Linked DNA regions of Callithrix jacchus. The protein of the gene in region 1 interacts with the protein of each later gene in a biochemical or structural test. Links are inferred from orthologs where the notes say so. Each region holds a gene or a part of one and is shown on either strand. Other genes may lie near its edges.

What was found.
Region 2: the proteins of RPS6KA1 (region 1) and GOPC interact in a test that uses a peptide from one of them, tested with the Homo sapiens proteins (2 studies listed by BioGRID and IntAct, with this or other methods). The link is inferred for Callithrix jacchus from reciprocal best matches to the Homo sapiens genes RPS6KA1 and GOPC.
Region 3: the proteins of RPS6KA1 (region 1) and PDZK1 interact in a test that uses a peptide from one of them, tested with the Homo sapiens proteins (2 studies listed by BioGRID and IntAct). The link is inferred for Callithrix jacchus from reciprocal best matches to the Homo sapiens genes RPS6KA1 and PDZK1.
Region 4: the proteins of RPS6KA1 (region 1) and SNTA1 interact in a test that uses a peptide from one of them, tested with the Homo sapiens proteins (2 studies listed by BioGRID and IntAct, with this or other methods). The link is inferred for Callithrix jacchus from reciprocal best matches to the Homo sapiens genes RPS6KA1 and SNTA1.
Region 5: the proteins of RPS6KA1 (region 1) and PARD3B interact in a test that uses a peptide from one of them, tested with the Homo sapiens proteins (2 studies listed by BioGRID and IntAct, with this or other methods). The link is inferred for Callithrix jacchus from reciprocal best matches to the Homo sapiens genes RPS6KA1 and PARD3B.
Region 6: the proteins of RPS6KA1 (region 1) and LIMK2 interact in a test that uses a peptide from one of them, tested with the Homo sapiens proteins (2 studies listed by BioGRID and IntAct). The link is inferred for Callithrix jacchus from reciprocal best matches to the Homo sapiens genes RPS6KA1 and LIMK2.
Region 7: the proteins of RPS6KA1 (region 1) and PDZRN4 interact in a test that uses a peptide from one of them, tested with the Homo sapiens proteins (2 studies listed by BioGRID and IntAct, with this or other methods). The link is inferred for Callithrix jacchus from reciprocal best matches to the Homo sapiens genes RPS6KA1 and PDZRN4.

Annotation. Positions count from the first base shown.
Region 1 is NC_133508.1:63,217,814-63,220,644, forward strand, and holds part of RPS6KA1 (ribosomal protein S6 kinase alpha-1), read left to right. Parts: intron 1-1,633; coding exon 1,634-1,795; intron 1,796-2,028; coding exon 2,029-2,105; intron 2,106-2,338; coding exon 2,339-2,456; intron 2,457-2,831. UniProt on the Homo sapiens protein: Serine/threonine-protein kinase that acts downstream of ERK (MAPK1/ERK2 and MAPK3/ERK1) signaling and mediates mitogenic and stress-induced activation of the transcription factors CREB1, ETV1/ER81 and NR4A1/NUR77, regulates translation through RPS6 and EIF4B phosphorylation, and mediates cellular proliferation, survival, and differentiation by modulating mTOR signaling and repressing pro-apoptotic function of BAD and DAPK1.
Region 2 is NC_133505.1:123,866,828-123,870,455, reverse strand, and holds the end of GOPC (Golgi-associated PDZ and coiled-coil motif-containing protein), read left to right. Parts: intron 1-14; coding exon 15-145; 3' UTR 146-3,128; downstream 3,129-3,628.
Region 3 is NC_133519.1:8,110,114-8,113,613, reverse strand, and holds part of PDZK1 (Na(+)/H(+) exchange regulatory cofactor NHE-RF3), read left to right. Parts: intron 1-770; coding exon 771-907; intron 908-2,825; coding exon 2,826-3,021; intron 3,022-3,500. UniProt on the Homo sapiens protein: A scaffold protein that connects plasma membrane proteins and regulatory components, regulating their surface expression in epithelial cells apical domains.
Region 4 is NC_133506.1:5,910,538-5,913,397, forward strand, and holds the end of SNTA1 (alpha-1-syntrophin), read left to right. Parts: coding exon 1-12; coding exon of another isoform or gene 13-44; intron 45-1,431; coding exon 1,432-1,619; intron 1,620-1,720; coding exon 1,721-1,813; 3' UTR 1,814-2,360; downstream 2,361-2,860. UniProt on the Homo sapiens protein: Adapter protein that binds to and probably organizes the subcellular localization of a variety of membrane proteins. May link various receptors to the actin cytoskeleton and the extracellular matrix via the dystrophin glycoprotein complex.
Region 5 is NC_133507.1:125,871,124-125,875,415, forward strand, and holds the start of PARD3B (partitioning defective 3 homolog B), read left to right. Parts: upstream 1-1,492; 5' UTR 1,493-1,990; coding exon 1,991-2,110; intron 2,111-4,292. UniProt on the Homo sapiens protein: Putative adapter protein involved in asymmetrical cell division and cell polarization processes. May play a role in the formation of epithelial tight junctions.
Region 6 is NC_133502.1:201,772,885-201,776,384, forward strand, and holds part of LIMK2 (LIM domain kinase 2), read left to right. Parts: intron 1-567; coding exon 568-754; intron 755-1,603; coding exon 1,604-1,690; exon of another isoform or gene 1,691-2,332; coding exon of another isoform or gene 2,333-2,339; exon of another isoform or gene 2,340-2,411; coding exon 2,412-2,543; exon of another isoform or gene 2,544-2,778; coding exon 2,779-2,835; exon of another isoform or gene 2,836-3,279; intron 3,280-3,500. UniProt on the Homo sapiens protein: Serine/threonine-protein kinase that plays an essential role in the regulation of actin filament dynamics. Acts downstream of several Rho family GTPase signal transduction pathways.
Region 7 is NC_133510.1:34,504,202-34,508,194, forward strand, and holds the start of PDZRN4 (PDZ domain-containing RING finger protein 4), read right to left. Parts: upstream 2,801-3,993; 5' UTR 2,729-2,800; coding exon 2,081-2,728; intron 1-2,080.

The DNA.
Region 1 (2,831 bases):
TGTTAGGCGAGGGACTTTGGCTGGGACTTTGTCTTGCAGGTAGGGAGCCTTTTTGACAGGGTTTTTGACAATGCCCAGGGAGGTTCCATTAGCTCAGGGGAGAAGGAATAGGAAGATAAGGACATGAGGAGTTTAGTGTGGGATGTGTTGAATTTGAGGCTCTGTGGAACATCCCGTGATTGCCAAGTGGTAGGCAGCTGGATTTATGAGCCAAGACTCAGGTAAGTTCTAGACTAGGGTTAGAGATCTGAGAGGTATTGGTAATTGATAGTTAGAGGATTGACTATGAATAGAACTGTACAGGCCAGGCACAGTGACTCACACCTATAATCCCAGCATTTTGGGAGGCCCAGACAGAAGGATCACTTGAGCCCAGGAGTTCAAGACTAGCCTGGGCAACAAAGCGAGACCCTGTCTTTACAAAAAAATGTTTCAAAAATTAGCTAGGTGTGGTGACACACACCTCTAGTCCCAGCTACTCGGGAGGTTGAGGTGGGAGGATCACTTGAGCCGGAGGCTGTGGGTGCAGTGAGCCATGATCATGCTACTGTACTCCAGCCTGGGCAACAGAGACCCTGTCTCAAAAAAACACAAAACAACCTTACGGAGTGTGAGAAGGATAAGAATGAAATGTGGAGTGGTTCATCCCCTTCAAGTTAGAGATGAGCAAGCAGGGCCCAGAGGAAAGCTGTTTGCTTATGGCCTCAGCAGTAAGTGTCATTCATTCATTCATTCATTCATTCAACAGGTGTTCATTAAATACTTGCCATGTACTAGGAGCTAGTTTAACTGCTGGGATACAGCAGTGAGCAAAACACTCATGGAGTTTACATGCCAGTGGGCAGATTCCATAAACAAATTGAATATTATGTTAAGTGGTGGCAAATGCTACAGATCAATGTAAAGCAGTATATTCATAGATTATAAAGATTAGGAAAATAGGGCTGGGTTCCGTGGCTTATGCCTGTAATCCCAACACTTGGGAGGCCAAGATGGTGGATCACTTCAGGTCAGGAGTTTGGAACCAGACTGGCCAACATGGTGAAACCCCATCTCTTTTTTTTTTTTTTTTTTTTTTAATCATCCAGCCCAAAATGTCAGAAACCCTGTCTCTACTAAAAATACAAAAAATTATCCAGGCATCGTGGGGGGTGCCTGTAATCCCAGCTACTCTGGAGGCTGAGGCAGAGACTTATTTGATCCTGGGAGGCAGAGGCTACAGAAAGCTGAGATCTTGCCCCTGCACTCTAGCCTTGGTGACAGAGGGAGACTTGTCTCAAAAAAAAAAAAAAAAAAAAAAAGAATGACACACTTTTTAGATTTTGACCTAAGTAACAGGAAGGATGGAGTTGCCACGAGGTAAGATTGTGTGATGAGTAGTTTTGGGAGAATTGGGAGTTCAGCTTTGGACAGGTTGACTTAGAGCTACCTGTGGACACCTACACAGAGTTCAAGTGGGCAGTAGCAGCAGCAGTAAGGCCCTCATTTCAGCCCTTTCCCCTTCTCTCGGATTCCAGGTCTGTGCTCCCATCTCTCCACACCCTATCTGTGTAACTTTCTCATCCCTGGCAGCTGACCTGGGACACTAGCCACCTCCCTGCACTGAGAACTGATCCCAGCCCCCTGCCCCTAGGTTGTGCACAGGGACCTGAAGCCCAGCAACATCCTGTACGTGGACGAGTCCGGGAATCCTGAGTGCCTGCGCATCTGTGACTTTGGTTTTGCCAAACAGCTGCGGGCTGAGAATGGGCTCCTCATGACACCTTGCTACACAGCCAACTTCGTGGCACCCGAGGTGAGTGGCCCAGCCTCCTCAGCTATAAGAGAGGGGGAACCGGAGGCCTTGTGCCTTCTCCCAGAGGCCCCACATTGGCCAGGGCTCCAGTCTCTGTGACCTTGGCCCAGCTGGCAAGGGAAGATCTAGCCTGTGGCTGAGACCCTTGTCCTGCCCTTGAGAGCAGTAGCAGGAGCATCTGTGGCAACTTTCTGCTGCCCCCAGGCTGACCACCTGCCCTGCCCTGTTGCCAGGTGCTGAAGCGCCAGGGCTACGATGAAGGTTGTGACATCTGGAGCCTGGGCATTCTGCTCTACACCATGCTGGCGGGGTGAGTGCCCCTTGGCCTGGACCCTTCCCCACTCCTGCAGCCCTAGCATTTGGGCTGGTGGTGCTTGTCTGATAGGAAAGGCTCAGCCAGCCCTGCCTCAGGATGGTCTGGAAATAGAGACATGGTCCTACCTTGGGAGCACCCCTTCTGTGGGGAGACACAGTCTTCCACCAAGCCCCAGCCCCAGGATGGAGGCCAGAGTCTGTACCCAGACTGTGCGGGCTTTTCTGCAGATACACTCCATTTGCCAACGGGCCCAGTGACACACCAGAGGAAATCCTAACCCGCATCGGCAGTGGGAAGTTTACCCTCAGTGGGGGAAACTGGAACACAGTTTCAGAGACAGCCAAGGTGAGTCTGTAAGGCCTGCATGGCCTCATTTGGAGGAGGGAGGCAGGGTCCCGTCCCAGGGCTTTTCAGCTGTTCGTGAACGGCCTCATTTCTCCAAGTAGATGTTCTACAAATCCCTGTTGCTGTATTTCTCCAAGTGGAAGATTCCCAGGCAGACCACCCCCATGACCCCCGCACCATGTTAGGGTAACTTGGTGATCATTCACTGGCCCTTCTCATTCTGGGCCCTATAGGGCACAGAGGGCTGCATAACCACAGTCCCGGCCTCTGGCCTTGTGGAAACAGTGTAGTGAGGGATACAGGTTGGCACATAAGGAACAGCAGTGCCTGGCGGCCCAGATAGGTGGACCATCTTGGCCAGGGGTGTGGACCATG
Region 2 (3,628 bases), on another chromosome or scaffold:
CTCCTTTCTTTCAGGATTTAATAAGAAGGCAGTAACTGACGCACATGAAAATGGAGACCTGGGCAATGCAAGTGAAACTCCGCTAGACGACAGTGCTTCAAAATTAGATGATCTGCACAGTCTGTATCATAATAAATCTTATTAAATTGACTATCTCCAGACAAGATTGTTAATCAGACTATTCTGAATTTGGGGCACTGGGGAAGATGGTGACAAAGACTATACAAAATCAGGGGAGGCTGTTTGTTGCCTAAATGAAAGGCAGGTACCTCAGGGCTTCATGTGAACAATTCTAAATGCATAAAACCCCCTGTGTTTTGTGGTAGGCCATAATTAGCTATTGCATGTAAGCAATTTTGATTTTCTTGAAATTGTAAGCATCAAAGCATGTGTTTCTTGAAGGGTATTACTGGGCTCTTAAGTACCAAATGAAACCCTACTGTTTTATTTGGTTCCTTTTCTCTTTAGTAGAGGACAGTGCTAATTGGAATTTTATAATACCCTTTAAAATACAGAGAGTACATGAATTCATATTATATATTCTAGAAAGTTAACTGTGGTATTTCAGAAAACAGAACTTGACTCAAATGAATTGTAGAAATATAGACCGGACTTAATTTTTTTTAACTGAAAGAAAGGTTTTAGACTTAAAAAAAATTTGTGCATCCTGAAATCTAAATCAATACTTAATGATCATTTATTGTAATGAGTTTGCATTTCAGCTTTATTCAGTGCAGTACGAAATAGTTTTCTTTAAACAATCCTTTATCAATCAATGCTGCACTAGAAATAGTTTCTCAAAAGTTACTAAACATTTGACTTTCTTGGTTTTTAAAAGAAATGCAGATGAGTATAAAACATCTGTTCTCAATTATGTTGATCTGTGTGCACAGTATGGAGCATTTACCCATTCATGTTGAGTCTCAAATGCTTGTTTTCTGGGATCCACAAAAGACAGTTTTATACATTTTGAGTTGTTCATAGTTTGTCTTGTGATAGTTCTGGCATTTAAAGATAAATTTTTCTGGTAGTAAAAGTTCAGATTTTTTACTATGTCATGAAACACAGTACGTTCAAATCAAACAGCAGTTTTCTTTCTAAGTAAATGATTTCGAATCATCTAAAATGTGGGCAAGATGAGATGAAGACATTTTTACACAGTAATTGTTTTAGTTGGGTTTTCATGTGTCAGTTTATGTTTGACTAAAGCTCTCTTCATATGCAGGTTTATAAATTTGTAAGGTCTCTTGTCCCATGATTAAATATGGAGTGTCTCCTCTCTGATCTATTATTCTGCAGTCATTGTAACCGGCTGGGCAAAGTCAAAATGTTACATTAAAGAGGTGATAGTTTTGCTAATCAGTTTTGCTAATATCACTGTTAAGGGAATATTAAGTGGGAGAAAGCCTACAAGGCTTTTAGAATATTATCAGTATCTTCATTTCTGGTATTCAGATGTTATGTGACAAAACACTTTTTTTTGTCTTTCCCAGATGCACTATATATTTGTTCAAGGGTAAATCTATAAAATGTATATACTTTATTTTGTGATTTTGCTATTTATAAATTTAATGTTTTAACTGTTGCTCATTTATGGTTTGTTTTGGGTGGTGTTCATCTGTATATCACCATGTTAATTTGTAATAGAAGTACACTTCATAGTGTATATTGTTACTGATATTAAAATACTTTATAGCATTGCCTCTGAGCAAAAGCTAGTATTTAATTGTACAAATGAATAAGCAAGTCACATGTTATTGTTTGCTTTTGACAGGGTAGGACTCTTAAAAGAAAGAAAGAATAAAAAAGCTTGTCTCCTTATGCCAAACACATACCTCCCATGCATGACATAAGATCTGCAAACTGGATTTTAGCCACTGTATTTATTTAGTAAAAAGAATTTCCCATTGTAGCTGACCTGAAAACTTTTTGCTGTGACATGAAACCATGTTATTCTTATCTTCTTAAAGCACAGCCTGGGTTGGAATGGCCATGGTATTTTTTTCAGAGAATATCCTTTATCTACTATCACTGAATCCTTAGGAAATGTAAGCTAGAACCCTTTGATTTTCAAGAGCTACCTAATAAGTGGTGTTTTTTTTTTTTTCCTAGAACTTCAAGTTGGAATTTTTATGAGGTCACTGTGTAATTTGAAGGATTGTATGAGACAGTTATGACATAAATTCCTTTTAAGGAATGATAAATAGAAGGAAAAATTCCCAAGTAGTTTAAAACTCCACCGGTCAGTTTCCTTTACATTCCTGCTTCAGTGGGGTTTGTAAGCCTACGGTAGAGCACTGTTGCTCAGATGCTACTGTGAACTTCCTATCACGTGTTAGAAAGTAACTAGTTAAAAGTTTATTTTAGAATGTATGGTCTTTGGGGATGAACTAAGAATTAGTTATTAGTTCCAAAGGACTGAGAACCAGTTTTATTATTTTCACATTTAGAGGAAAGAGATTCATATGCCCCTGAAGCTTCTAGAACAAAACCAAACAAGTAAGGAGGGAACTGGTACAAAGCCATTTCATTGAGAAAGGGACAGTAGGAGAAATACGCACATGTGTACACAGAATGGTTGAGAAAATGTCTTGATAGAATGTGAGGGTTGTATGGACGTGTGTATATATTTACACTTAACCTCTAAAATACTCTTCTACAGTTCTCTGTTATGAATATGATGGAAAAGCAACATTTTGATAATGAGACTATTATTAAAATAGATTTAAGAAAGGTGAAAATTTTGTGAGTCTTGATAATTATAACTCAACAGCTACCAAAAATTAGCACAGCTTGTCTGTGGTGCTGTTTTTTTCCCCCCCACAGAAAGTTTTTTTTTACTGTACACAGTGGACTTATTCTATTTTCATGTTTAGAAACAAAAAGGTTTCATGTGATTCATGTGTAAGATGTACAGTATTTGACATCCTGCTTATGTAATCCCTATTCCATCCAGTCTTATACTTATGGTTGGCCTCAAGTCTATTGCATTTATGACAATGTATTATATCTAGTTAATTTGAGTTTAATATTTTTTATTAGCCTGTAAATAAAGATGGCATATTCTACATTAAAATGATATTGATCTCATTTTTTTTAAATAAACATTTTGTTTCCTTCATATTAAATATTTGGCTTATTATTTATTTCTAGTAGCTTCTATTATTTGTACCAATATATCATAAAGTCTGTGCAAAGGATTGGGCTTAATTTTGTGTTATAAATATTGGCAGCTGATGTTATGTATGAGGGAAACATATGTTAGAAAACCAATCCTATTTTTAAGACACCATTTAAAAGGATATTCTTCCATTTTGACCTCTGTATATAATTTAGAAGTACCTATGTTATATGTAAAATACTTTTTGGAAAATACTTGTAAATGAATGACTTGAGTTATGAACATTTAGAAATGTTATGAACATTAGAAATACAGTTTTGTCACTGACTAACCTTGATTTAGTGCTAATACATATATGCTTTCTGTGTGTTGATTTAAGCTCACAATTCACCAAGTGATTTGAAAAGAAGTCTTTCCCCCAGAATTCAACCCCATAGGATATTGGTCAATTTATGAAATTTTAAAGAGAACTTGCATTTTCATTTTTAATTGGTGTTTTGTTTTAGG
Region 3 (3,500 bases), on another chromosome or scaffold:
TCACCTGTATGGGTGAGATGACCTCACTGGCATGTGATAGACGCTTTCCGATTCTACAAACGTGAAGAAAGGGCGTATGACACAGTAACCCCCGGTTCAAGAGGCCAGGGCCGCCTAAGATTCCATCTTTGCATTTAGCTGACCTCAGAAATTCTATTCAACAATTCTACTCTAACCCACTGAGTGAAGGCTGTGTCAAGTTCTGTGTTAGGAGCTGTCGCTGTGATTTTAGATCAGAAGCCAAAGGCTGTTTGAGTTAGCTCTAAAACTGGAAGTTCTATTTTTACATTACTGGGAGAAAAGTCTTTACCATCGGACTTCTGGTTTTTCTGTGCAATGGAGTGTTCTGTGAAAGGGTGGTGTGTGCCCTTACAGTCCTCCGATGCCGAAGGAGCTGAGAAGCCAAAGGACAAGGCGGGCAAATCCAGTTTGTCGGTATATTGGAATATAGTCGGAGAACTTACAAACTTTCTTGGACAGCCGGAAACCACAGTCTCTGCAGTGTTACTCTCCAGACACAGGGCTGCTCTGTCACAGGGAAAAGGTGTATGAAGGCAGCCCTCTGCGATTGGCAAGAATGCTCTACATCATGGCCTGTAATTTGTGTGATAACATCAAGGCTGACATGTTCTCACACTCGGGACGGTAAATGAAGTAGAGTCAGGAGGCATTCACAGGACTGGGGCCCATCAGAAGTCACCATGGCAGATTAGCATCCAGCAGGGAGTCACTTTCGCCTCCCCATGGAGTTTACCTCTACTCTCTTCCAGGTAAAAAGGGGGTATACATGACTGACATTACACCTCAGGGTGTGGCTATGAAGGCTGGAGTTCTGTCTGATGATCACTTGATTGAAGTGAATGGAGAGAACGTAGAGGATGCCAGCCACGAGGAAGTGGTTGAAAAGGTATGCCCCAAAGGGTACTTTCTTACCCTGTCTTCCACTGTTCTCATTGGAGGTGACAGGAAGATGGTGGTAGGGTCAGCATGAGTTTATGATGGAAAAAGTACCCAGTTGATTTCATGTTAAAGGTGAACAGACCACACTACAGGTATAAGCAGTGTTGATATAGAGGTTTGGAATAAAGCCTCCCCTGATTTCACATGAGGTCTATAAAACTACTACCTTTACCTTTTGGATCTGGTTTGTATCTGATTGGGAGCCCCCTCTCAACTGTTGGATTGAGACAGGGTCTCATTCGGTCACCCAGGTGGGAGTGTCATGGGACAGCCTTGGCTCACTGTAGTCTCAGCCTCCGGGGCTCAGGTGATTCTTCCACCTCAGCTTCCTGAGTAGCTGGGACTACAGGTGTGCACCACCACGCCTGGCTAATTTTTATATTTTTTGTAGAGACAGGGTCTTACTATGTTGGCCAGGCTGGTATTGAACAACTAGGCTCAAGTGATCTGCACGCCTTGGCCTTGCAAAGTACTGGGATTACGGGCATGTGCCACCACCCTCTGAATTTATAATAAATTCACTGTTGAGGGCCGGGCCTGGTGGCTCACACCTGTAATCCCAGCACTCTGGGAGGCTGAGGTGGGCAGATCACCTGGGGTCAGGAGTTCGAGGCCAGCCTGACCAACATGGAGAAACCCCATCTCCACTAAGAATACAAATAATTAGCCGGGCGTGGTGGCAAATGTCTGTAATTCCAGCGACTCGGGAGGCTGAGGCAGGAGAATCGCTTGAACCTGGGAGGCAGAGGTTGCGGTGAGCCAAAATTGTGCAGCTGCACTCCCGCCTGGGCAAAAAGAGTGAAACTCTGTCTCAGTCAATAAAATTACTGTTGAGTCGATAATACTGAAATTTTTTTTTTTTTGAGCTGGAGTTTCACTCTTGTTGTCCAGGCTGGAGTGCAGTGGCATGATCTCCACTCACACAACCTCCGCCTCCCAGGTTCAAGCCATTCTCCTGCCTTAGCCCCCCAGGTAGCTGGGATTACAGACATTCGCCACCATGTCTGGCTAATTTTGTATTTTTAGTAGAGACGGGGTTTCTCCATGTTGGTCAGGCTGGTCTCGAACTCCCGACCTCAGGTGATCTGCCCACCTTGACTTCCCACAGTGCTAGGATTGCAGGCGTGCACCACTGCACCCAGCAATACTGAAACATTTCATAGGAAGTAGAGGATAACAGATTCTCCTTTGAGGTCACATGGAACCTTAAACATTGACTAACTTCTCTTTGTAGAATGATTTTTTGAAGTGGAGCTTTACTTTCTTTTTCTCCAAACTCCTATTGTTGCCTTTACCTACACACCTTTATGGGTTTTCTGAATTCCAGCTCCTTCTTGGGCTTAGTACCTATGTGGGTGGGTCATAAGTAAGGGAAAAACAACTATGGCTGTGGAGGTAGATACCTATCAGTCAGCTGGTAGGACGTAGTATTGCAGCTAAACGCAGGCCTTCTATCCCCATCTTGTGTGGAACCTAGAGACCGTGTGCCTTTATATAGAAAGTTTTTTTTTTTTTGAGACGGAGTTTCACTCTTGTTACCCAGGCTGGAGTGCAATGGCACGATCTGGGCTCACCGCAGCCTCCGCCTCCTGGGTTCAGGCAATTCTCCTGCCTCAGCCTCCTGAGTAGCTGGGATTACAGGCACGCGCCACCATGCCCAGCTAATTTTTTGTATTTTTAGTAAAGACGGGGTTTCACCATGTTGACCAGGATGGTCTCGATCTGTTGACCTCGTGACCCACCCTCCTGGGCCTCCCAAAGTGCTGGGATTACAGGCTTGAGCCACCGCGCCCAGCTGGAAACTTTTTTATTCCTTACATTGTTCTTGGGGGTTGATGTGGTTCCTCGTCTGTGTGTTGTTGCAGGTGAAGAAGTCAGGAAGCCGTGTCATGTTCCTGCTGGTGGACAAAGAAACTGACAAGCATCACCGTGAGCAGAAGATACAATTCAAAAGAGAAACAGCCAGTTTGAAACTGTTACCCCGCCAGCCCCGAATTGTGGAGATGAGGAAAGGAAGGGATGGCTACGGTTTCTATCTGAGGGCAGGCCCAGAACAGAAAGGTGAGGCACAGGAGCAGGAAACTTCACAGTGTAACCAACAAGCTCCTCATCCAGTTTGACTCCAGAGTTCTGTTAGGCTCTCAGCTCCCAACCTGATGCATGAGGGGCACAGCAAGAAACAAGGAGGCACAGCTGGGTCAGATTCTAAGTCACATGAGGGTCTGATATTGGGCATCCTAAAGTTTCCATAGCTGAATGATGAGGCAGAATTTGTATCCTGGTAAGATGGCTCTGGGGGTGGGGGAAAGTCCAAATTGGTAGCATTTGCTTTTTGTGATGTAAATATTCCCCTATGTCCAATTTCAACTTACTAACACGATGTCACTGAACACACAGAAGTACTGCTAAGAATCGGCTTTTGTGAGCCGGTGTGAGCCAGCTACAGTTCGCTGCTGGAGCTGAGGCCCAGGTGTGCATGAGAGCCAGGAGTCCTCCTTCCTTGCAGCTCAATAGGAAGAGCACTAGGTTCTTTCAGGGAA
Region 4 (2,860 bases), on another chromosome or scaffold:
AGGTGTCTACAGGTGTGCTGGGAGGATCTGGGAGTGTCCCTCTGGTAATGAGCCTCTTCTCCTCAGGGACATTCAAGCTTCCTTCTTTAGGGCACTTCAGACAGGAAATGGGGTTTGGAGGTCAAGGTGGGTGGATCATCTGAGGTCAGGAGTTCGAGACTAGCCTGGCCAACATGGCAAAACCCCGTCTCTACTAGTAATACAAAAATTGGCTGGGTGTGGTGGCTCACACCTGTAATCTCAGCACTTTGGGAGGCTGAGGCGGGTGGATCACTTGAGATCAGCAGTTCAAGACCAGCTTGGCCAAATGGTGAAACCCCGTCTCTACTAAAAATATAAAAATTAGGTCAGGCGCGGTGACTCACGCCTGTAATCCCAGATACTTAGGAAGCTGAGACAGGAGAATTGCTTGGACCTGAGAGGCGGAGGCTGCAGTGAGCTGAGATCACACCACTGCACTCCAGCCTGGGCGGCAGAGCAACAGTCCATCTCAAAAAACAAAACAAACAAATAGAAATTAGCCAGCCATGATGGAACACACCTGTCATCTCAGCCACTTGGGAGGATGGGGCAGGAGAATTGCTTTAATCCTGGAGGTAGAGGTTGTAGTTAGCCCACATAGCCCCACTTCACTCCAGCCTGGGTGACAGAGCAAGATTCGGTCTCAAAAAACAAAATAAAACCAAACAAAACCCCAAACATTAGCTGAGCATGGTAGCAGGTGCCTATAGTCCCAGCTACTTGGGAGGCTGAGGCACAAGAATTACTTGGGAGGTAGAGGTTGTGGTGAGCCAAGATCACACCCACTACACTCCAGCCTGGGTGACAGTGAGATTGTTCCTCAAAAAAAAAGAAACCAACGTTGGGTTTGGGCCTCTGTTTTGGATGTGCAGGTGCCCTGGTAGGCAGAGACTCTTCTCCCTGGGGTTTTCTTGCCCCAGCTTTGTCCATCTGCTGAGGATGTGAGAGATGGCACTTGGGGTAGGGCTGCCAGATGAAATACAGGACACCCAGCTACATTTGAATTTCAAGTTAACAATGAATACTTTTTTCATAGAACTATGCCCAAATTAGTCATTGCTTATCTGAAATTTAAATTTAGCTGGGCAACTCTGCAAGTCTCCAAGGGTGGTGCTTGGTAGATCTGATGATGCCTTTATCAGGAGTGAGCCTCCTGTCCATGACAGATTTTAAGCTCCCCCCTTTATACTGTAGTGCTGCTGGAAGTGGGGCTGGAAGTGGGTATAGGTCCTCTGAGGGTGGGGGTGGTGACTCTCTGCAGGATGGGTATACAGGTGCCACAACAAACAGTGATCCTACCATACATGGAGGCATTTAGGCCCCACTTTGTGACGCTGCGGTGGGGGTTGGAGGTTGGGGTGTGGTCTCTGAGGTGCCAGCTATGCCTGTACCTACGTGCCCCTCCTGCAGCCTGCACGTGGAACGGGCGTCCCTGCAGCCTGTCTGTGCACATCGACAAGGGCTTCACACTGTGGGCGGCTGAGCCAGGGGCAGCCCGAGCTGTGCTCCTGCGACAACCCTTCGAGAAGCTGCAGATGTCTTCAGATGATGGCGCCAGTCTCCTTTTCCTGGACTTTGGGGGTGCTGAAGGCGAGATCGTGAGTGAAGGGCAGCCTCTGTACCCTGGGGAGGAGGGGGTGTGCACTCTTGGAAGCCAGGCTGGCCAGGGCCCTGACTCTTCTCTCCATCCACCCTGCAGCAGCTGGACCTCCACTCGTGTCCCAAAACCATAGTCTTCATCATCCACTCCTTCCTCTCGGCCAAAGTCACCCGCCTTGGGCTCTTGGCCTAGAAGTCGCCGGATGCACTAGCCCTGAAGAGGGGTGTCTATAACATGGCCTGAGCTGGGCCTCCACCGAATGCCTGCTCGCCCCTGGGCTGACAGAAGGGAGAGGAGAGGAACGAGGTTCCTCAGAGACCCCGCCCCTGAGGGAGGCTGGATTGGTCTTGGGGCCCAGGACCCAGACCCAGGACAGAGTGGACCCTGCCTGTGATGGGGTAGCCTTCCTGCTGCCCCCCTCCACTAGTGCCTTTTGCAGAGAGATATTTTGTGTACACAGAAGCCATTCCAAGCCTGGGACCTGCCCCTGTGTGGATCCTGACCCCAGCCAACAGCTGAGCTGCCAGGCCTCCTTGAGGCCCCTAAGCCACCCCCAGAGGTCCCATCTGAAGCTGGAATACCTGGGGTCAGCGGCAAGAGAAAGAAGAGGAGCCTTTCTGTTTGTTTTTCCCCTTAGCTCCGCCACCTTGGGGAGTCTGGTTTTTCTCTTCATCCTTTCTCTCTCCTCCTTACTCTTGGATAAATAAATAGCCTGTGAGCATACAGGCAGCCTGGCCCAGTGTCTGTGGTCTGTGCCTTGGCCTTTGGGCCCTGGGGTGGCCCCTGCAGTCCCAAGATGGACCAGACCAAGGACCGGGGCACCTTTCCCTGGAGAAGAACAGACCTTCACCACAGGGCCAAAGAGAGTGTATTGGTTATTTATTTTTGTGTGACAAATTACCCCAAATTTAGCAGACAAATGACCCTGAATTTTGCAGCTTAAAATGACAAATATTCATTATGTCCTAGGTTCTGTGGGTCAGGAATTTGGGAGGGGCTAAGCTGGGCTGTTCTTGTCTCAGAGTTGCTCATGAGGTTGCAGTCAAGTTGTCGGCCAGGGCTGCAGTCATCTGAAGGCTTGACTGGGGTCGGAGGATCCATTCCAATACTGCTTATGGTCATGAGGTCTCAGTGCCTCACCATGCAGGCCTAACCCTAGAGCTGCTGCTTGAGTCTTCTCATGATATGGCAGTTGGCTTTCCCCACAGTGAGACAGAAGATAGAGCAAGGAGGAAGCCA
Region 5 (4,292 bases), on another chromosome or scaffold:
AGATGGCCTGGGTTTTAAGCCAGCCTCTGGTACATTCTAAGAATGAAATTGTAACCAAACCATTTAATCTCCTTTGGTCTCAGCTACTCATCTCTAATAAGAGGATATAGTGCCTTCTTTGAAGAGAGCTGGGCTGAGAATTGAGACCACACTGAGGAACAGATAGAGCCAAGAGCTGGAGAGAGCTAGCCGCTGAGGATATGGTTTGAGTTTCTGCTTTCAGCCTTGCCGCAAGGGAGTGTTCTCTGGATCTTCTGATTCTATGAGGAGATCGATTCTGTCTTTGGTTTATTTAAATATAAATTAGTTTGTATTGGATATTTAACCAAATTACTATGGACTTGGTTTACATGATCCTCTTGGTTGCCATTGACCTTCTATACATAGAAGACAACCAATATATATTTATTGAATGTATGAATGAGCTAATTAAAAAAATCTCTCAAAACCCATAAATTTAATCTCCTGTGCATTATGATACCATCCTAGGCAATTCCAGTTCAACGTAAGTGTGTCCACATAGGAGTAAATCCTTCCGTAGAGAAACACATGATGCAGCCCTGAGGGTCTTACAGGATATCCGGCTAAGATAACTGCTGGGAGAGACCAGAGATTGAGCTCCGAAGACCTGAGTTCTTTTCAACAGAACTACCAACACCTCTGTTGACCTCTCCGGGGCACCGTTCTTTATGCACAAGAGGCGAAGAATAGTATCTACCTATGGGGTTGTTGTTAAGCTCAAAGGAGCTTATTTACATGAGACCTAAGAATGAAACAAGTGTAATTCATTGATTTGCCCTCCACATAGTCCCATTTCAATTGGCGATAGATACACACCTGCCAAATCATGAGCCTAAAGGTGTTTAACTTTTTTTTTTCTAATAAAATGCCCAACAGTAGTCGCATTCCAGAAGGCTATGTGTCAACACACGCGATCATATCTGGGTTTGGGGTGTGACCTTTGGCCGAATACTCGGTGTCCTCGTCCGTAAAAGGAAAGGTTCGCTTCAGATCTGCTATCCCAGGGCTCTAGACAGCAGCTGCCAAGGCTGTGCTTAAGAGAGCTCCTAACAGGCCCTCGAGCCACTCCAGCCTCTCAGCACCTGGCAGCCTCGCCCCCGGGGTGTTTTTGGTGGGCGTGACTAGAAGCACCTGCTCCCGGGCTCCTTTTGCATCTTGCTGCAGTCCCCTCCTGTGAAGGGTGCAGCTCTGCAGTCTCCTCGCTCTTCTCTCGGGTGTGCTTTCTGAGATCCGGTTTCAATCCCCGAGTGGGTAGCCCTCGGGTCCCCTTACAGCTCCCCAGAGCTCCGTGTGCATGCGTGCGAGAGGGAGCGAGCCAGGGAGCGACCCAGCTGAGGGGACGAGGCTCCCGGGCTCCACTTACCGGCCCGCAGAGCCTGGGCACGGCGTCGCCCAGAGCGCGGCGGGGCCGGGGAGCGCGGCGGCCCCTTTAAGAGCCGGGCCCAGGCCGGCCCCGGGACCGCGGGAGCCCAGAGCGCGGGCGCCGCGGAGGAGTTGGGAGCCGGCGCAAAAGTTTCCTCCCAACTCCAGCCCCGCGCGCCGCCGCCGCCGCCACCCACTCCAGCCCGGGGCCTGGGGCCGGCCCTGCCACCGCCGCCAGGGCCAGGGCCAGAGACAGGGCAGGGCGAGCAGTTTCGCTTTGGTGGGCGCGGAGCAGCAGCCTGGGCCGGGCAGGAGTGGAGCGGGAGGTGGAGGAGGAGGAGCCGGGCCGCAGAGCCGCAGCGTCCCGGGCCGCCGGGCACCTGGGAGGTGACCCCTCTCCGTGGCCGTCCCTCCCCGATTCCCGCTGCCCGCCGCCTGCCCGGGTGGAAGGGGCGCTGCCGCGAGCCCCCGGGCCTCAGGGTGCCCCGGAGAGCGGCGCCCCGGGTCTCCGGGCCCACCCGCGCCTGGCGTCCTCCGAGAGTGGGGGCTGCGCCCGCGGGGTCAGACACCTGTTCGGCCCTGCCCGGCGTGGTCGCCGGGGGCCAGGATGAAAGTGACCGTGTGCTTCGGTAGAACGGGCATCGTGGTGCCCTGCAAGGAGGGCCAGCTGCGCGTCGGCGAGCTCACCCAGCAGGCGCTGCAGCGGTACCTGAAGACCCGGGAGAAGGTGAGCGCAGAGAGGAGGAGGGGGGCGCGGCTGCGGCCAGGGCACCTGCCAGGTGCGACCCGGTGGTGGTGGCGACGCTCAGGGGATGCAGAAAACCCAAGGGATAATGGGGCACTGCCTGTAGATGCATCTGTTGTCTATTGCTAATATCAGAGACCTGGGTGTCTTTGGGCATTTGTGGGCCTTGAACTCCGAGAGTGGTTGGTGGAACCGCAGCATTGGAATCTCTTGGGAGCTCCTTTGAACTGCCCAATCTGGGGACTTAAACACCAAAACCACTGACTCGGGATCTGCTCTTTAACGAGATCCCCAGGTGATTGGAATACCCACTGAAGTTTGAGAAGCACCGGTTTGGAACTTGTTTGAGGGAACGTCTTAAAAGGTGCTGCTTATCTAAGTGTGATTTTTGACCCATTAAGGCCTGCCTCACTTCGGCTCCCTGGAGTTTAGAAAGTTGATTGTACAAGTGACACATACTCGGAAGTTAGAACTGATGGGGCCTTTGGAGTTTCAACCTTGTGAGCTGCCCAGTCTCAGTGACTGGCAGGAACGCAGGTTGGAGAATGTTTGCTTATCCAGCCAGTCTACATTTTGAGTGTTTTCAGTTTAATGCCACAGATTCTATGAGCATTTATCATGTGTGTGGGCTGTTATTCAGGTCCCGAGTGACTATTAAAATGAGAAAGATGTCCCTACCTCTGTCGCTGAGGTCAGGAACAAGTAAAAATTAAGTGAGAATTTTTTTTTAAAGTGTGAAATACATGATGAGAAAATATCTGGTGCTAGAACCTATGCCTAGTATTTGGGTAACATTGGGCCTCTGGGACTTCCTCAATGAAACTTTTAAAAATACATTGGATAACCTTTTAATTTTTTGAATCTTCACATGGAACAATTTGTATGTCTCAAATCCTCCTCAAACAGGGCAAGTCACAAATTCTTGTCTTAGAAGCTAATGGTTCTCTTAAAATTTGGTCTGAGGCCATGTGACTAACATAGTAGATTGGTCAATCTAGTGATGGAAAAATGTAAATCATCTTACATTTTAACTTCTTATAGGTTACCCAAAGCATGAAAGTAATTATTTCTTACAAGTATATAGTTTAGGGGTTTAAGAAAATACTTGCACTGTCTTTGCCTCCAGTAAGGACTATTCTACAGAAAAAAAAAAAAAAATCCAGCTCTGGATAAATACATGCATATGTTGCTTTGGATACTTAAGAACTGGACCAACCCCTAAAGATGAACTCTTTATTGATGGAATTGAGATGGAGGAGGGAAAAAATTAGTGACTTATAAAACCATGTGAAAATCTACTGGAATGTTGTGTGTGTGTTTGCCATTGTTAAAATAGCGCGTGCTGTTTATATCATGTAATTCAGTTAACTGAAATTTAAACAAGTAATCAATTGTCTATTAAATCATATTTTACTAACTCTTGAAAGTGGGTTAAAGTTAATAGTAACAGCATTACTCCAGACAAATTACTGAGATCTTATTGAAGGACTGTCTTACTGAGTTGAAGTTACTTTTTAACTATTAAAAAATAATTTATGCCCTCAAATCTTGTATACTTAGAAGTTTAGTACAGGGCGCTGTCCAAGTAAGAGATAAGCTACAAGCTTGTAAATAGTATGAAGAGAACTAACCAGATGGTATTTAATGCACTATAATTTGATCATAAAAGGTGGTAAAAAATTATTGATATTCTGGAATGGAAATGTAACTTATAATGTCACAGAACCCATGCTGTAATTGCATTGATCAGTTTACTGTTACTACCAGACTTGTATTTTTCCGTTTACATTTATATATTAGTGAATGTGACATTTAAAGGTTACCTACAGCATATAAATTTTTTTTGCTTTTAAAATTTCCTTTTTAGAAATAGTGATGATTTTTTCTCCTTCCCAAATATTCTTCTCCCATAGTTTCATTTTAAATATTGTAATCATAATATTTAATATTAAATGGTATTCCTAATGGCATTGAAAGGTCAATAAATAACAAATTCCATGCTTTTATTTTTTTAAATGAGAAATGGCCAGAAATGTCAAAATTCAATTTGAAAAACAATGTGTAATAAATTCACTTTCCATAAATCAGTGAAAGACAGTTAAAAGGCTTGTCTTCCTAGACAGCAAGGTTTTAAGCCCTGCTCTTCATACTAATAATCACATTA
Region 6 (3,500 bases), on another chromosome or scaffold:
GTGGCACATGCCTCTAGTCCCAGCTACTCAGAAGGCTCAGGCACAAGAATCGCTTGAACCAGGAGACAAATCGCTTGAACCAGGAGACAGAGGTTGCAGTGAGTCAAGATCACACCACTGCACTCCAGCCTGGCTGACAGAGTGAGACTGTCTAAAAAAAAAAAAAAAAAAATCCCATTTGCTCATTTTTTGGATACTAGTATAACTATCATTCTAAACCAGTTAGTACCTTAAGTCAAGCAGATATGGGAGATGGTGAATTACCATCTATAATGTTGTCATGTATGTCATATACTGAGCATTATAAGCTAGTAGAATCTAGTTAATTGTTTTGTGTGTGATGTATGCAGAGTTCCCATTTTGAATGTGTTTTTACTATGCTTAAATAAATGAGTGATGTCTGCAACCCCATAATGGCACATCTGATGTAAGAGCCCCTGTTCCCCAATAATAGCATCTAAACTATAGACATTGGAATGGACAGGTGCCCCTAGGTTCCTTCCTCTAGGGTTTTTTGGTGGTCTCTGAGGACTGTGTATCCCTATTCCCATCTTTCCCCATCTTTAGGCGCAGTAACAGCATCTCCAAGTCCCCTGGCCCCAGCTCCCCAAAGGAGCCCCTGCTATTCAGCCGTGACATCAGCCGCTCAGAATCCCTTCGTTGTTCCAGCAGCTATTCACAGCAGATCTTCCGGCCCTGTGACCTAATCCACGGGGAGGTCCTGGGGAAGGGCTTCTTTGGGCAAGCTATAAAGGTGAGCACAGGCAGTAATTGCTTTGTTTTTATGCCCTCAGCCCCCCTCTTTCACTGTCTTTCGGGGATTTCTTATCACTTGGCCCCACCCCATACCCTGCAGGACATCAGGCCCCCTTCCTGGCTTTGGGTGATAGTATGAAAGGTATCCTTTGCATCCACCCAGGCCACCTAAGGTCAGTGTTGCTGTTACAATGAGCTTGTGGACCTGGAGATCCAGCTTGGGTTGAGCTGTGCTTGTGGTCCTCCTGCCACCAGTCAGTGGGTGTTTGTTAGGTGCCCCCAGGCCTTAGTACCGGGCATGCTACAAGGAACACACAGGGGCTTCTGCCTCCCTGGGAAACAGTCTTGGGGACTAATCTCTCTCTTTCTCTCCTCCTCCTCCTCTGCTGAGAACTGGGAGGGGGGGTCAGGTAAGCCATGTGTCTCAGCTTGTGGGGGCAGCGGGGCTGGAAAGTTTACCCCTGACCCACCCAACTCCCTGGTGCATGTCTTTGGCACTGACTTTTCTGCCCCCAGACTTCTCTGTTCACTCAAGAGACTCACTCCGGTGCCAAATGACCAGAGCCCCTGCTTGGCTTGGCAGTGTCCCCTCCTGCCTCCTTCCCCATTTCGCTTTTCTGGGTTTTTGCCTATCCTCCATGCATGCCCAGCTCTCAAGGAAAGAGGATATGCTTCTGTCTGAATCCCCTGTTGCTTCACGCTGCATCTTCCACACATTAACTCTGTCAGTCTGACTTGGCTCAGTATACCTTTCAAAGGGTGGGATGGCCAGTTGCATAGATTTTCTCCAACAGTTTTCCAGAACTGCCTCTGGTCTCAGCACCATTAATAGTTACCCTCCCTATAGGTGACACACAAAGCCACAGGCAAAGTGATGGTCATGAAGGAGTTAATTCGATGTGATGAGGAGACCCAGAAGACTTTTCTGACTGAGGTAAGAAGATGGAGGGGGACTAGGAGTTTGGTGTCACCATTGGAAGAGGGAAGACCTTACAAATAATGGCTTCAAGAGGAAATATAGTTTGGATCACTGACTTAAAGACTAAGCAAAAAAGAGCACTAAAGGAATATCCCCACTCCCTCTAAATTACAGCATAATTATTTGTTCAACGAACACTTACTAAAGGCAGCACAAACTGGGTACAAGGGATGCAATAACAAAAGATACATGTTTCAGAGGAGCTCTCAGATTATGAGGGTGATGGACATGAAAACAGACCAATTTAGTACAGCTCTGTTACAATCCTTACCTGAACACCCTGCTAAGGGAACCTGGAGGGGAGTTCCCTGAGCACTCAATTCCTTAAGCGTTTACAGTTTTCACCACCTCTCCCAAGTTACTTCATGGAGCAACTTCAGTTGGCGACACCTGTGGTCCAAGTACTGCCCTCCGAGGCACTTGGCCACTCCCACCACTGTTCCCCCAGTGAAGTTCCTAGAAAGGGAGGATGCCAAGGGTGAGGCCTGCGAAGCCATCTCCGTCCATATGATGGGGTTCTTCCCTCATCTTGATCTTAGTCCTGTGCCATATCACAAGGTAGGCAGTAGGAGATGCAGGTGGTAACACTTGTCAAGCTCATTCCCTGGAGGGAAGGCATAAGGAAGACATAGTAAGATGTTAACCACCAGCTTTCCTTGGCTTCCCCCACCACCAGGTGAAAGTGATGCGCAGCCTGGACCACCCCAATGTGCTCAAGTTCATTGGTGTGCTGTACAAGGATAAGAAGCTAAACCTGCTGACAGAGTACATTGAGGGGGGCACACTGAAGGATTTCCTGCGAGGAATGGTGAGCACAACACCCCATAGTCTCCAGGAGCCTTGGTGGGTTGTCGGACACTTCTACTACCATTACCCTGGGAGTTTAAAGGCCAGAGGAGCCCTGCTTTGCCCCCAAAGACCATGCTGGGCGGGTCTAGGCACAGACAGGGAGGCTTCACTGGGAGACCATATTGACTCGTGGGTCTGGACCACGAGTGGGACAGGGCTTAACAACCTCCAACAGTCATTCCCCTATCCTGCAGGATCCGTTCCCCTGGCAGCAGAAGGTCAGATTTGCCAAAGGAATCGCCTCGGGAATGGTGAGTCCCACCAACAAACCTGCCAGCAGGGCAAGAGTAGGGAGAGGTGCAAGAATTGTGGGCTTCACTAGAAGGTAGAGACCCCTTCCTGTGCATCTTGTGTGGGGTGGGTCAGCAGCTATTCGTTGTGTTTGTCTGTGCCACTGAAACTACCTCTAGCCAACTGTTCTTAGCTCACAGCCCTATTCTCAAAGAATTACACATCTCTAAGGGCAAACAGCGTGGACAAGGCAAACTAGAGAGGCAAATTGTAGCCTGAGATGGCCTGGCCTTGCTGTTCAAGGTGTCCAGATGCTAAGGGCCCTTGAACCAAGTAGAGCACCTCACTGCATAGGAAATCAGTGAAGGAGAAATGAGTTCTAGCAGAGCCCTGAAGGGTCAGAATTGGATAAAAAGTTCCTATTGGCAGAGAGGTTCCAAGATTGAAGCGACAGGAGCAAAGACCTGGGAGGAAAGAAGAGAAAATCATCTATTTTACCTGGAAACAAATGATTCCAATCATAGCAATAACAACAGCTGACACGTACTGAGTGCTCTCTATATGCTAGGCACTAAGCTGAGGAATTAATATGCAGGTGCATGTTTAGTCCTCATGACAACCTTGGTTTCCAGATAAGAAGCTGGGCTGGAAAGGGACAGAGCTGGGATTGGGTTAATCAGTCTGA
Region 7 (3,993 bases), on another chromosome or scaffold:
TTTGAGACAGGCAGCACTTTTATCCTAATGCAGCATCTAATTCTGATTTCACTGTAATTGAAAACATATTTCTGGTTAAACCTTGGAGTTATCTTTATTTTTCCCTCCATTATGGAAAAGTAAAATATAAATTATCAATAGCGTAAAATTTTTATTTTGTAAAGTCTTAACGGAATTTAAAAAGACTTAACTATTTGTAAATAATATTCATGTTGCTGTTGTAATGCAGGATCTATTAGGCTACTGTAGTCCTAATTTTAAATAATATTCCTACTTGGTTTTGCATAATTCCTGAAGAATAGAAAGAGAGAATTTGTGCTAGGTAAAGTAGTATTTATTTATTTATTTTTTGGCTGGCCAAATAATCGTAAAACAAATAGGAATTATATCTGCAATGTTTATTAATAAAGACTAACTTGAACATAGGATGAATTAGCGCTGGACTAGGTGGGTTTTATTCATGGTTATAGATGTTATTAACTTTTGCTTAGAAATTACTTCTGAATGATAACATTCCATAAGCATTATCATCACTATCAGCATCACGATATTTTCCCAGGAGCTTTTCCCAGGCAGTGCACACAGCAGCCCCTACTGGTAGTAGAAAAACATTTCTGGGGAACACAGAGGTTTTGGCTAATCTGCAAATCATGGACAGTTTTCTCACTTCTCAGGATCGTAGCTTGACTTGCTGCATGGGGTTTTCTGTCATATTATTCTAGCCGTTGCTCCTTTCCTTCAATCATTGGTTTCCTGCGACCTTGAAACCTGGACTGGTAATGCAAAGCTTCTATCTGTGCTTTTCCCTGGGTCCTCCCATTTTGTAAATTTACCTGTATATATGCATATATGTATATGCATCTATGCACTAGAGAAAGAACCCTTGAAACTAGTCTTTTAGTACACGGTGCCCGTCCATTCATCAAGGTAGAAACACTTTAGTCCCTCTCACTACAATTTTCTCTTTTAGGTTTAAGTCTGCGCTTCTAAACTCAGTGCCTGAGTTGGAGGCAGTGTGGAGCAGCCAGTCCCAAATGGGAATCTTTCTGGGTTGCTCCTCCCCGGGAGTGCTGAAGAATGAAAACAGCTCCTTGAATGGAGCGCAAATTCTGCTAAATCCCTGCTCACCATGGCAGCGACCAACAATGTCAAACACTGTGCAGAAGTCCTCCAGGAGAGAAGTAACAGCTTTATAAACAAGCTTCTTCACACGGGGTGCTGCAAAGAGGCTTGTTTATTCGGTCTGAAAGCGGGCGGTCCAGGAGTGCAGTTTGGGGCCAGAAGCTTCGACAAAGAAGGGAAACAGCCGCTGTCTGGGGGCTCTCAGGGCCGGTCTGACCACAGATGAAGGCTCTCGAACTGGACTTTCCAGGTCTCACACACAACCCCCCACCCCACCCCCGCACCTTTCTCTCCATACCGATAATGAGATCCTGAGGCAAGGAAGGCTTATTTAGGGAAAGTCAGGATGATGAAAAGAACTCTGCAGGTCTAAGAACCCCCATCTCTCATTCTCTCAATTCCTGAGGCTGTCCTGGTCCCACCATGCCTCACAGTCCCCAACTTATCAGAAGGCAGTGGATGCAGGCAGTGGCAGGGCAAGTGTCACCAGCAGTGACAGGGCTCCTGTGGGTGCCGCTGCCAGGGGCCGCGGATCCCCGCGGGCAGGGGAAGGAAGCCTGGGCAGGGGGAAGTGTTTGCTTTCTTTCTTGTATTTGCTTCAGGCACAGGACAAAGGTTCAAAAATTAGGCAGAGACAGTGGGCAGGAAGGTAAAGATGAAGAACGAGAGTCTGGATGGAAAATGAGTTTTTCCAATTCCACGTTCCCAGGGGAAAGTTAGAATCCAATCTGTTTAACTCTTTCCAATCGTAATATAAGTAGAAAGGGGACAATCTTTAACTTCAATGCCAATCCATTCGCAAGATAATGACAGGAACTTATGATTAGGGCATGGATGCTTCCTGCTGTATAGTAAGAAAGGATGCCCCATTCCAAAGGGATCCTGAAGTGTAGGAAAGAACTGTTCCTCTTCCCACCCAAATCGACCATGCCTGGGGCGCCCACCCCCCTTTGCTTACCCTGCGGTGTCCGCCACCCAGGTCCCCGACGAAGTTGCAGATGTGAGCCATGTATTGCGTGAACTTCTCCTGGTACCTGCGCGCAGTGAGCCGCACCTCGCCCTGCAGCGCCCACAGCTGCGCCAGCAGCGCCTTCTCGCGCCGCCTCCAGGCGAGTACCCGAGGCCTGGGTCCCCGCCCGCGGCCACAGAGGCCGCCCGGCGGCCCCCCGCGAGCGCCCCCGCCCCAGCCGGCCCCTGGTGCCGGCCCGCAGCCCTCCCGCGCCGGCACCTCCCCACTGTCCGGCCCCGAAGCGCAGACCCCGAGGCTGCGGAGGTGGCTGGCAGGTCCGAAGTCGCAGTGTTCGACGTGCGCCTCCAGCTCTTGCAGCCGGACGGAGTGGCCACAGCCGCGGGAGCGGTAGTCACACTGGACGCGCAGCTTTTGGATGAAGCTGCGCAGCGGCAGCACCCGGTACAGCTCGCGGGGCGCCAGGGGCTGGCACTGCAGCGGGCACCGGCGCCGCCGCACCGCCCAGGGCAGCAGGCAGCTGGCGCAGAAGACGTGCCCGCATGGCGTGCACAGCGGCTCTTCCAGCACCTGGCCGCACAGCTTGCACTCGAAAGCCGGGTCCACGGCTTCTGCGAAGCGCTCCAGTGCAAAGCCCATGTTAGGGATGGGGGAGAAAGGGGAGCGAAAGCAGAGTCCGTCTTCTCCGATCCCCACTGCCTTCCCCAGTTCACCCCGGGGCAGCGGTCCCTGGGCGGCGGTAGTGGCTAGTCGGAGGGAGGTGGCGGGAGGGAGATATGATCTCAGTTTGTTTGGCTTAAAGTTTTCAGGCTCCGGCTAGGTCCCCTGACTTCGCCCGTACGCTAATAGAAGTCACCTCCAGAGACCCCAGCCTCTTCCGCTGCTGCCCTGCGATTTATGTTCTTTCAAATTTTGGCCGCCAGTTTACAAGGGTCCTTGGAGACACAGTGTTCTCCTTTGCCTGCACAATGAACTTCAAGCATCAAGGCGCCTCGCCCTGGGCAGAGCTGGTGATGGGTACAGCGCGAAATGTTGAGAAACAACTTTTTAAATCCACCACAATGTAAGCCTCGGGAGAGCAGAATCTTTGTCAGTCTGGTTTTCCGTTGAAAGCTCATGGTGCGGCGTCGAATCTATCTCCAATATGTTTGAAATAGAAGCACGTTTGTTCTTTCACATCAATCAATTACAAGGAAGCTGTGACCTTAGGAAATCACTATTAGGAAAATAACACCAGGAGATCCACAGAGCCAGGCTTCTCAAACCATGATTCAGAAATCAGGTGAGTTAGATAAGCACGGATCTTTGACCTAGCAGCAAAGACGGGGGGAAAGCCAGGTGCCCTCCTCAGGACTTTGCCTTTTCAGGGAGCTGCTGAAAAGCCATGCAAGGCCTCCTACTGAGGAAGCTGGGATTCTGAGTTTGACTCAGCATCCATCTTCTACTTCCACAGGCATGTTACTACTGGGACCGGGAATGTGATCATTTGGGAACCTGCAAGGGAAAATTAAAGGGAAAGATAATGAAAGAAAGCAGTGAAATAACACAAATAAAATCTTAGTGGCTGTTTCTTTCTACTTACCCTGAATGAACCCTTTGGATCCAAATTGCCTCCTCTCCCTGTTTGTCTCTTCCTATTATGTAGCATGACAAGCTGTCCTGAAAACACGCAGTAGGGCGTCATTCCAAGCCCTTATTCCTTCCACTTCCTTTACCACCTTCTGAACTTTAGGAATGCAAAGGGACCTGTCACCTGGCTGCATATCACTTACTGCCATTATCCTGAAGCTGCTACCAGATGCTTCGGTGGGTTTTATAAATTGATCATTGATCATTCCTTGCTGCCAATTGAGCCTTGTTCCTGGAAAGCTTGTACTTCTCTATGACACCAAATGGCATCAGTT